Linked DNA regions of Diceros bicornis minor. The protein of the gene in region 3 interacts with the protein of the main gene of each other region in a pairwise test. Links are inferred from orthologs where the notes say so. Each region holds a gene or a part of one and is shown on either strand. Other genes may lie near its edges. The genes, in order: NATD1, CDKN2C and NIF3L1.

What was found.
Region 1: the proteins of NIF3L1 (region 3) and NATD1 interact in binary tests that used the Homo sapiens proteins (3 or more experiments, as listed by UniProt). The two-hybrid records come from large-scale screens. The link is inferred for Diceros bicornis minor from reciprocal best matches to the Homo sapiens genes NIF3L1 and NATD1.
Region 2: the proteins of NIF3L1 (region 3) and CDKN2C interact in binary tests that used the Homo sapiens proteins (3 or more experiments, as listed by UniProt). The two-hybrid records come from large-scale screens. The link is inferred for Diceros bicornis minor from reciprocal best matches to the Homo sapiens genes NIF3L1 and CDKN2C.

What each region holds. Positions count from the first base shown.
Region 1 is NC_080757.1:232,353-236,096, reverse strand, and holds the start of NATD1 (protein NATD1), read right to left. Parts: upstream 2,342-3,744; 5' UTR 2,304-2,341; coding exon 2,207-2,303; intron 1-2,206.
Region 2 is NC_080752.1:13,411,475-13,415,218, reverse strand, and holds the start of CDKN2C (cyclin-dependent kinase 4 inhibitor C), read right to left. Parts: upstream 2,956-3,744; 5' UTR 1,737-2,955; intron 1,284-1,736; 5' UTR 1,273-1,283; coding exon 1,144-1,272; intron 1-1,143. UniProt on the Homo sapiens protein: Interacts strongly with CDK6, weakly with CDK4. Inhibits cell growth and proliferation with a correlated dependence on endogenous retinoblastoma protein RB.
Region 3 is NC_080749.1:78,812,518-78,816,261, forward strand, and holds the start of NIF3L1 (NIF3-like protein 1), read left to right. Parts: upstream 1-1,534; 5' UTR 1,535-1,755; coding exon 1,756-1,760; intron 1,761-3,408; coding exon 3,409-3,744. Other genes in the region: PPIL3 (peptidyl-prolyl cis-trans isomerase-like 3), read right to left, coding at 460-462. UniProt on the Homo sapiens protein: May function as a transcriptional corepressor through its interaction with COPS2, negatively regulating the expression of genes involved in neuronal differentiation.

The DNA.
Region 1 (3,744 bases), on a different chromosome or scaffold from region 3:
CCACCTTCCCAGGGCGGCCCTCCTGGACACCTGACTCTCAACAGCAGCCCTTTCCCGACATGCTCTCCGCCTGCCCTGCTCTATTTCTTGCCAGGCCCTTGTCTCCTAGGACCCTTTACACTCTATTCATTGTCACCGCCCCTCCAGACTGTCATCCCATGAGTCCCCAGCACCGAGAACAATGCTTGGCACACAGCGGGTGCTCGGCAAGGACTGTGGAGTGAATCCCAGCTCTCCCGCCTGCGAGGCGCGGGGCCCTGCGTGTGTCAGTCACATCTCCGTGCCTCAGTCTCCCCATCTGTAACACTGGAGGGGCAGTTCCCTTCCCCCCGGCAACACCATGAGGATACAGTAAGTGCCTCTCTGTGCAGGGTGCCTGCCTGGGACACGACAGGGACTCAGTGAATGCAGCTGCTCCGACGCCTCCCCTCACTGCTACCGGGCGCTCACCAGCCTCGCTCTGCCATGGGAGGGCCGGGCACACGTCTGCACCAGGAGCCCTAGGGCCACTTCTCCCCTCTGCCTCAGTGTTCATTTCTCAGTGGACACCATGAGCCGGCCCCCAGGGCTAACCCTGCAGTTCAGGAGACACTCTCACAGGCTGTTCCCCTCCCCAGCTGAGGCAGAGTGGGGCCCAGACACAGACGGGCCCTCTCCTGCCCCGCAACATACACACTCGGACTGGGCCCAGCCTAGGCCACACAGTCCCTGCCTTGCCGGCTGGGGAGGAGCTGGTGGCCTCGCGCTGCTCCCTGGGCTTGGCTGGGGATCCCCGGTCCACTTTCTAGTTAGCCATCTGGGCAGTAGGTTCTGGAAGGGGACAAGTTTAGGAATATGGCTGGCACGTCTAGCCCCGACCACAGTCAATTCTAGAGGGGTGTCCTTTGGCTCTAGCCATTTGGAAGAGAAAGCAAGAAAACTCCAAACATTCCCTTTTTCTTCTGTCTCGGTGAGTGTATAGGGCCTCCTGAACCCCCATGGGAACCAGAGCCTCTTTGGAACCTGAGAAGAGAGGATTTGAAAATCCACGAGGCCCCTCCCCACAAGAGTGGCCAGCGCCCTTAGTGTCACGGCCAGCTGGGCCACGGCCCACACCATGGTGGCAGAAGGACTTGCTTGAGTTCTAGCTCTGGCACTTCATGATACGGCAAATCACTTCTTCCCTGTGGTGCAAGCCTCAGTTTACTCACTTGTCACGTGGGGGGCTGATGCCCACACCACAAGGATGTTGTAATAGGGACGTGCTGAGGCCCAGCCCAATGCCCAGCACAGCGCAGACAGGGCTCTGAGAAATGTCCTTGCCCTGGGCCCCAGCCCTCCTGCTTGTGTCCAAGTGCAGGTCCCAGGAGCCCAGATCCAGGAGTCAGAGCCGCCGGCCCCTACCCCAGCTCTGCCCCGGCTCACTGCCTGGCCTCAGCAAGCCTCTCCTTTTCCTGGGCCCCTGCCTTCCCTTCTCAGAAATGGGCACAGTGGCCTCTGAGGGCTCTTGCCGCCTGGACCTGCCACAGGGGGCCCAGATGGGTGAGAAGAAAGTCATTAATGCAGAAGGTGTGGGATACGGGGAATTCACGGGCCTCCATTGTATAACTCTGTTTTCTATGCCCCAGACCTCTTAGGGTGAGGAGGCATGGGCTAGTAGGCGGCAGAACCTTCCTTTACAGGAAACGTCTTGACTTGGCTTGCTGGTTTCGAAAATAACGACCAGTGCATGTTTATCTGCGCTGACAAGCGCGGCGGGCGCTGTTCTAAGTCTCCACTCTGATCTCCGCAGGCACCCGCACAAGCAGCCAGGCGGTCTGCACCGGGGATGGGGGGCTTCGCAGACTAGGGTGGAGGCGCTGGGGCTCGCGGGGAGGACACGACTTGGCCGCAGCCTCGGCCGCGGGGTGTGACGCGACGCCAGTCCCTCCACACCGGCAGCCCCTCTCTCCAGCAGCCCCAGGGCTGCCCGGGGGTCTCCCCCAGCCCCTCCGTGCAGAGACCCCAGGTTCCCAGGGGCGGCGAGCAGCCGGGTAGCAGCCGCGAGGGCAGCGGGGTCAGGCTGGCCGCCCCCCGGGGTCTCAGCCCCCGCCGCGTCCACCCCGCGGCGGGGGGGCACGCGGGGCGGGCAGGCGCGGGGGCTCGCGCGGGGGCCGGCGCGCCCCCCCGCCGCCGCCTCCCGGGCCCCCGCCCGAGCCCCCGGCGCGGACAAAGGCCGGGCGGTTACCGTTGAGGCGGACGGAGAACTGGCGGCGCCGCCGGTCGTGCTCCACGCGGACGGGGCAGCCCTGCTCCGGCGGCCCGGCGCCCCCCGGCTGCGCCATCGCGACCCCTCGGGCGGGCGGGGGCCCGAGACCGCGGGCGGCGGCGCGGACCGACCCCCGGCGGCGGCGACAACACGAGGCGGGGCCGGAAGCCAGCTGTGCGGTCACGTGCCGCCCCGTGGGGACACATCCCGTCCGCTCTTAAAGGGGCCGCGCCTCCGTGGGGACAGCCCGTCCGCTCTTAAAGGGGCCGCGCCTCGCGGCTCCGAACAGAACACTCCCTGCGCCGGCGCCCGGGCCGCTGCGTCCTCTTGCATTTGACCCACGGGCGACTTTGGGGCCCCCACACGGACACGTTCTCAAGATGTCACGACCTGTAGTGAAATTCTAATCATCCCTTCGCGGCCACCATTGATTGAGCGCTTGCTGTGTGTATGGCCTCTGCACGGCAAAGCCCTGGAGAGCCACAGGAGGGGCTCATGGAGGCCCCCCTGCGCTCAGCGAAGATTCTCCTCACCAGCCCGAGAAACAGGCATGCCCAACTCTGCTTTACGGATGAGGAAAGAAAGGCCCCGGGCAGGCAGAGATGTTCGTGAGGGCACACACGGTGGGGCCCTGGGAGGATGGGGCTGCGGATCCCACCGTGCGCAGCTGAGGCTGCTGAGGAGGGGGTCCCCGAGGAGCCGTCTGGGTTGGGGGTGAATGCCACCACTTCCAAAAGAGGCCGAAGTGCAGGAAGAGGCCTTGCAGATCCCTGGATCCACTCCACAGATGGGGAAATCAAGTCCCAAGAGGGCCAGGGACTTGCTTGAGGACACACAGGGCTTTCGGGAGCCCAAACCTGTTTTCTGAAAGGAGACTTGACCAGCACCCCCACCCCCATGGAATCACATGACTGTAGCTTACTTTTCCCTGGTTTGTTAATGAAGGTGTAAGCTCAACATTCACTGCCGTGTGAGGATCACCCAAATCAAGATAGGGGACATGTGTGCTTCCCTCAGCCTCTTCCAGGCAGTGCCCCACCCCTGGAGGTAACCACTCTCCTGGACTTCTAGCATCATTGCCTAACTCGCTTTTTCTAGAACTCCGTGTAAACAGAATCGTATAGTATGTACTTTAGTGTGCCGTTTCTTCTGGTCAACACTTCACCTGTGAGATTCATCCGTGTCGTTGCTTCTTTGTCATCACTGAATAGTCTTGTCGTGTGCTTACACCAGGGTCGATGTATCTACCACCTGTGGATGGGCCTTTGGGCTGTGTCTGGGTTTGCCTGCCGTGGACCATCTGGAGCACTCTGTTGGGGTCTGTAGCATAGACCCCTCTTGGGCGGCCCAGGAGTGGATTGTGGGGTCTCAGTAGCTGTACCTTGAGTTTTATGAGATGTTGCCAGGTCTTCTTCCAGAGTGGTTGTCCCGTTTTACACTCAGCACTGTGGCCGACCCCGTTGAGTGGCAAGTTCGGTGATGTCGGTCTCTCAGTCTTGTTCATTTTTGCTGTTCTG
Region 2 (3,744 bases), on a different chromosome or scaffold from region 3:
TGGCATTGCTATCATCACCGGTAAACCACCAGGTCGAAAAAGAAAAAAATTCCTTTCCCCACTTAATCTACCTGAAATAACAAGATAAATAATTTAGTATCTATGCATAAGCTCCCTTAATACTGAAGCTTTTGCAAGGTTGGTGTATTCTGATTTTAAAATGTACAGACTGTATAGACTTCATCTGTTAATAGTATATCTTCTGACACTTAAATTTCTAATTCTTGTAACTAAAACAAAGCACTCTAAAAACCCTTTCCCCAATGGATTTTCAAAAACAGTTTCAAGTGTTGCATTTCCGAATAAGAATAGCTCATAAGAATATCATCAGAACTCTGATAAAGCAACTATTTGAGACTACTTTGCCATTTTTCTGTTTCTATGCCTTTCAACTAAGTTACATCATAGCATTCAGAGGAGGAAAAAATATTATCAGGTATAATACTTGGCAGCTGGACATGTTTCATTTGTTTCTTGTAAATCTAATTACTGAAAATTAGAACATACCACGGCATGACCGCAGAGACAAAAACACTACAAGCTGAGCTCCGATTAGAAAATTCAACTTTTTATTCCTCCTCAATCCTGAATGGGTGGATGGTATTACATTAACTGTGAAATGTACATCCTGTCCCCGTGCCCAGGCCACCCATTCCAAACGAGGAAAGGTCGTTTGTCAAAACTTGAAGCATTTGAAGGAAAAACACCCTCGCCAGTAGTCAAGAAAATTAACGTTAAAGTCAATTATTGGAGCAAAGTACGGAAACCACTAATAGCAGTGTATTTACTTCAAATAATAATCATAATAATGTGTTTACAGAGCTGTCTAAAAAAAAAAAAACCCAAAAAACTCGGCTCTACTACGACTACTTGAACATCCCCACCGTCACAAAAACATTCCAAAAATTAAGACCAAACCTGGAACCCACTTGATATCGAGGATGTTACTGGATTTGACGAGTTTGTTCAAAGTACGTCATTTTAGGGAGTTGGACCCACTTAAAGATATAAAATATGGCAACCAACTAGATTTAAAAACAGTGAAATTTTGTACCCTTGAAAGCTTAAAAGCTGTTATTCTAGAAACCCGGGTCACGTAGGCAACATTGTTGACCTGTTTTCCCCACCTCGCTGGATACCAACCTGCAGCGCAGTCCTTCCAAATCCATTTTGTGCATTGACGTTTACATTATTTTGCAACAAACTAGTAAGTTGCTCTAGGTCCCCCCTGGCAGCTGCGGACGCCAACTCGTTCCCCCAAGGCTCGGCCATTCTTTAGGGTCCTGACGATCGGGAAAAGATGAATTAGTTGTTTTTCTTTTTCCCCTTTCCTTTGCTCCTAACCAGGCTGCATGATGGCATCGGAGACTGACAGAACGACTGGGATGGTTAATCTGGAGTAGAGCTTGGTAGTAAATACTAGTAAGATCTGCCTGCCAAAAGCCCGCCCCTCGATTCACACGTGATTATTCAGCAAAACTGAGCCATTGGAGAGGGGCTCCGCTCCTCGCTTTTTAGCTTAACCCCTATGAAGAATTCTGGTGATTCAACAGAGAGACACACAGACACACATATATTCCTGGTAAATTACTCTGGGTAAAATGTAGGCAGAGCTGTCACGTACCTACGCTACAGACCTCTGTGAGGAATGTGCGCGGAGACTTAAGGGACTAGATCACGGCATAAAATACCGCGGAAGAAAAGACAGTTGGGGGGAAGAAAAGGTATTAACCCACCCTTGTTCACGGTGGTGACTTGAGCCGCGACAGCCAGAACTGCAGGGGCAGGTCCTCGGAGGGGCTCGGTGTCCATCCGTCTCGCCGAAGGGGTAGTCCTGAGTCCTCCGCTGCAGGGAGAGCGCCGCAAAGGCTGGATGCTGACGTGCTTCGGAGGGTTAAAGACGATCGCCAAAGGCAAACGAGAGTAGCAGTTCCGTGGCCCTCAAGTTACAGGTTGTAACGACTCCTCAGTGGCCTCGGCTTCTCCGGAGGAGGCTTTATTCGCGTCCGGGCCGAGCCGAGGGCTAACGCCGCGCGGGAAGGCTCCGGAGCCCGCCCGCCGCGCTGCCGCAGCCCCGCCGAGCCTCGGAGGCCGTGGGAGCCAGGCTCGGCGCGCGTCTCCGGAGACAGCCGGGCGCGCGGCGGGCCCCCGGCAAGCCGGTCATGCCGGCCCCACCGGGTCCCGGGACTCCCAGCAGCGTGAGGAAGGGGAGAGCGATGCGGGAAGCGTCTACGGGGCCCGGGCTGCTGCGGCAGCGCGCGGCAGCATCGCGGCTGCACAGGGCAGCCCACCGGTAACTTCCCGCCTACGACCGAGCCAGTTCAGACTTCCTACTGTAGACGCTCATTGAGCTGCCGCCGCTGTCTTTTCCTTCCTTTCCCGGTTTTCTGAGGGCCTCCGGAGATCGGGAGGGTCCTGGGAAGCGCAGGCCAACCTCTCAGTATGGGGAGTCGCCACAATCCCAGGGCGCAGCCAGTCCCGCTGCCCTCTCGCAGAGAGCCCAGGGGCTTCGGCGCCCGGTGCCACTTCGCCAACCTCTCGCGGTCCCCTGGCCTGTGCCCCCAGCCTACGCCGCCGACAGGGCAGCGGCCGCCAGCCAGCTGTGCCCTGGAGCCGAGCGGGGCAGCACTGCTTCCTCCCGAGCCGCAGCGCTCCCAGTGACAGTTTCTTTTGTAGCCGGTCCCCCCAAATCGCCGGTCCCTGCTCCCTTCAACCCTACAGACACTTGCGCGTCGTCCCCCTTTCTGCTCTTTTCCTTCCCTCCCTCCCTTGCTTCTTTTTACGCTCAAACAATTGCTGCTTCTGTTGCCGCTGCAGAGACGGTGCCGGTTTCTTCTCCCTTTTTTCCGACCTCATCAGCTTTTTTTGAAAAGAAAAAAATTGAGCGCTTTTTGAGTTGAAAAACCCGCCCCCATTTTAACGGCAGAGTTTTAAGGAGGCTCGGCGGAGTTGCAGCGCCGCGGGAGCGGGAAGGCCGGGCGCCGCCCACGCCCCGCCCTCCGCCCTGGTGGCGCTCTCGCTCGCCGCCTCGCGCGCCCCGCCCCCCGCCCCGCACCCTTTCTCCCGCCTCCCCGCTCCCTGCCTCCCTCCTCGCGTCTCTTGCGCCGGTTCCCACCCGCCAGCCCCGCGGCCAGGCCCCAGCTGGGGCGGCGTTCGGCCCCGCAGAGCCGGGTTTGGCCTCCTCGGGCTGGCGGGCGGGATGGAATCTGCGACGCGAAACCCCGGGCTGCCCCGGGCCCGGCGGGGGCGGGGGTGAGGGGAAGAGACTTGTTAATTAAGACGGCTGCGGAGAACCGCAGGGCCTTAGAGGCTCGGCGGCGCTGGCTGCTTGAAGGCGGAGAGCGAGCTGGCGCAAAGCGATCTTCCCCCGGCGCTGGCGGGGCAGGCCGGCCCGCCTCCGCGCTCCCCCGCTAGGCTCTCCAAGTTCGGGCGGCCAGGCCTACGCTGCTGCCGCCTCCTGTGGGGCGCGCGCTGTGTACGCTCGGCCTCCTTCTCTCAGCCCCGGGCCTCGGCCTCGCACCTGCCAGATCAACGTCCAGGGCCGCGGTGGGCAGAGGTGGCCGTGGGGCTGGAGGGCGAGACCCGGACTGAGCAAGAATGGTGCTCAGAAAAAGCAGAAGTCTTTTATAGACCGATTTTTACGAAAACTAGAGAGATGATTTACGTAAGAAATCATGACGAACTCTGAAGCCTTAATGTTCCAGAGACTCCAAACTGTGAAATATTCCATTTCTTCGGTGAAAG
Region 3 (3,744 bases):
CTTTTTCCATAAAAGATAAATTCTGTATGGTTTAAGTGAAAATAAAAAATTTAAAAGTAATTTTGCTTATTTCTGTTTTGCTTAGAATCATTTTACACTGTATGCTTCTACAGCTTATCATTTTTCCATCTTGCCATTGAAATTTCCATGCAGTTTTATTTCCCTTGGCTGACCTTCTAAAAATTACTTATACTGAAAGACATTCATAAGAATTCCATAAAACTGGGCCGGCCCAGTGGCTTAGTGGTTGGGTGCGCGTGCTCTGCTGCTGGCGGCCCGGGGTGGGATCCCGGGTGCGCACCGATGCACCGCTTCTCCGGCCATGCTGAGGCCGCGTCCCATATGCAGCAACTAGACGGATGTGCCGCTATGACATACAACTATCTACTGGGGCTTTGGGGAGAAAAAAATAAATAAAAAATCTTTAAAAAAAAAAAAAAAGAATTCCATAAAACTTACCATTTTTCTTCTTGATGGTTTCAGGAAGCACTGTTATGTAATTTTTCAGTCTTATCGAGAGAAGTTCGAAAATGAGTCTCTATTCCCAAAAGAAAAAAAATTAAGTTCACCTTCTCTGAACTCACACATGCTCATCTTGACTGCATATTTAAAAGAAAAAGTCTTGAGAGCACCCCCCAAGTAATAAAAATACGGCTATGCAAGTGATGAGGAGCTCCTACCAGACTCAAGCCCCTCAATCGCCTACTTCTGCTCACTCTCCTTCAGGATCCTCCTGCAATCCCCGACAAGCCAGGGACATCCCCGCCCTGGGGTCTGCGCGCTGGGCGTCCCCGCCGCCCGGAACGCTGCCGCTCGAACACCTCTACGGCTGCCTTCCTCACCGCCAAGCCTGCCCAAGAGTCAGGTCTCCCTGGCCCGACAACTCGATTCAAAACTGCCTCCACCCTAGTTCCTGCCCTGTGTCCTTTTCCCACAGCACTTACACTAATACAACACACGCTCGATTAAGTCTGTCCTTTCAACAACGCCTCCCCGCCCAGAATGCTCACTCAAGCAGCCCAAGAACTCACACACACAGCGCTCAGCACGGGTCTGAATAAGCGAATGAAAGAATGAGCGACGTTACCGCGTACTTACTTAACCACTTCGGTTAGCACAGTTGTTAAAAACTTAAAACGACGCCCGCACGGGTCTGTAGACTCGAAATTAGTTTCTTCGGGTCACCGGAAGTCGAGTACGGGACCCACTAGAGAGAACGCCGCTCACCTGCTCGCCTCCTTCTCCCTCCCCGCTCCTCCTTATCTCAAAACAAAAGGACTAGACCTAGAGAGACAATGTCATTTATCCGCACCTGGAACACTTTCGACAGTGAAAGGGAACTCTTCTAATAATTACATGAGGACAAGAACCGTAACCTGGAACTATTCTGGGCAACCTTCAGAAGCGTCGTGGGCTCAGACGTAAAACGGGAAGAGCACTTCCGGCCGCTTGTCCCTCAGTTTATTCCCACACGCCAGGAGGTTCCGCGCGGGACCGGACGTGACGCACGAGAAGCGCGCCCGGGGCCGGTGAGTCGGGTGATCTTGGTTCCCGCGTGGGTGTCCGAGGCCGTCGAGGCCGGCGCGATTCATGCGGGCTGTGGCTGTCAGAGAGGTGCTGCAGCGGAGACGGGGGCGGAAAACTGGCTCCCCGCGCGGGAGCGCAGGGCACCTGTGGGGCAGCGGCCCTGCCTCGGGCTTACCTGTGCCACCGGGGCTCTTCGTTGTCCTGGAAGAGGCCTGAAGGGGGACTGAAATGAGGTAGATGAGGGGAGAGGGTGCAGTTTGCAGGCTGTAAAAGGGGCCCCACTAATGTTACTTAACGTTAACAGTCAGTGCTGGCTCTAGGCCAGGCATTGTTTCCGGCTGCCCGGATACTCTCGCGACAGCGCCGTGGGCTGGGTACTCTCCATCCTTCAGCGGCGGAAACCGCCGAGGTTAAGTGATGAGTTGCGCAGCTGTGGCCTTGGGAGGCAGTCTGGTTTTGGAGTCGGTGCTCTTACCCACCATGCTATGCCGCCTCCCGTTGTTGTTAATTGTGGCTTCAAGCTGCGCCGCGTCCCAGTTTCCTAATCTGTGAAGTGGTGCGTGTTCTCTTCTTGCTAGGGGCTCTTTCGGGTAGGACAGTAGATAACTCAGATTCTCTAGTGGGCGTGGCGGCCCACTAGAGCCTCACTTTGGCGCTTGCCATATTTAGAAGAGTCTGGAGAGTGGAGTAGTGTCAGGACGGGGAATCTGGAGAGTGGAAGTGGTATAAGGACCATTAGAAGACCTCTCAAGACCCCAGGCTCGAGTGGGTTTGGAGGCTCCACGTCACAAATCATATATTGAATAAGTACATCTCGTATTAACTATTTTGGCTGTAGAACTGTTGGAAAAAATTTGCTTTTGAAATCATTGGGCTATGAGTATTTCATTAAATTTACAATTGGCTGTGCTGTCTTGCTAATTATTGTGCATACTGTGAAATGCTTTTCTTCAAAAACAGAAATCTTCATGGATACTAAATGGGAGAGTGGTGTTGACAGTGCTGTCTTTTGGATTGGATGTAGATGTCTGAAAGGCTTGCAGACCATGTGGGCAAAGTGCCCTACACCGCTGCCTCTCCCACCTCTTGAGCCTGGCCTTCCTGTAACGGTTGGTTCCGGGGCAGCAGCCTTGCTGCCCATTGGTGACATGACCCACCTATGCATCCCGTGACTCTGGCTGCTGATAAAGCACTTAACTTTTGAAAAATATTTTATTGTTTTTTTGGTAAAACATTTTTTAATGGCAATATATACCACCCTAACTCCAAATTCTGCTGAGGTGGGGGAGGGGGAGTGTCAGTCTGTTTAGCAAGCGTTTAGTGCTGGCCTGTGTTGCTGACACTGAGATGTATAAAAGCTAGTTCCTGTTCTCTGGTAGCTTTAGCAGACTGGGGGAGACAGAGGAGCAGAAATATAACATTCTGAGAATACCAGGGCAGAGGGCAGTGAGGTGGGGAGCCACTGAAAAGGAAGGTTTGTCAAGAAAAGCTTTATTTAGGAAGTTGAGGGGGACTTGGAAAGAAGGGTAGTATTTAAAGAAATGGAGAAGAGAGGAGGGTAGTTGAAGCAAGGGTGGGGCTGGGGAGGAGGGAATGAACACTTGTGTGTTATGTACCAGGTTTGTGCTAGGTGACTTACACATATTAATCCATTTGCTCCGCTGATGGCCTGTGAGGTTATGGTGTCTCCCTTTTGTAGATGAGAAAACAAGCTCAGAGAGATTAAATGACTTAGCTAAGATTCCACCTGCTAGTAAGTGGCAGAGCCAGTATTTGAACCCATGTATGTGTGACTACAGCGCTTTTGCCTGTATGCTTTGCTGCCTCAAAGGTCCGGGCCTAAGGTGTACAGGTGTACCACTGTCTGTGTTTTGACTCCAGATACTCAGCTTTACCTGATTCCTGTATGTTGTCATCTTGTGTACGCCTGGTCCCCACGGCAGTTCGGCTGGTCGGTTCCCTGGTCTGCAGTTCTTCCCGTTCCTTCATGGATTTGAAGGCTCTCCTTTCCTCCTTGAATGACTTTGCATCCCTATCATTTGCTGAGAGTTGGGACAATGTTGGATTACTGGTGGAACCAAGCCCACCACACACTGTAAACACACTCCTCCTGACCAATGACTTGACCGAGGAAGTGATGGAGGAGGCGCTGCAGAAGAAGGCAGATCTCATTCTCTCTTACCACCCACCTATCTTCAGACCCCTGAAGCGCGTGAC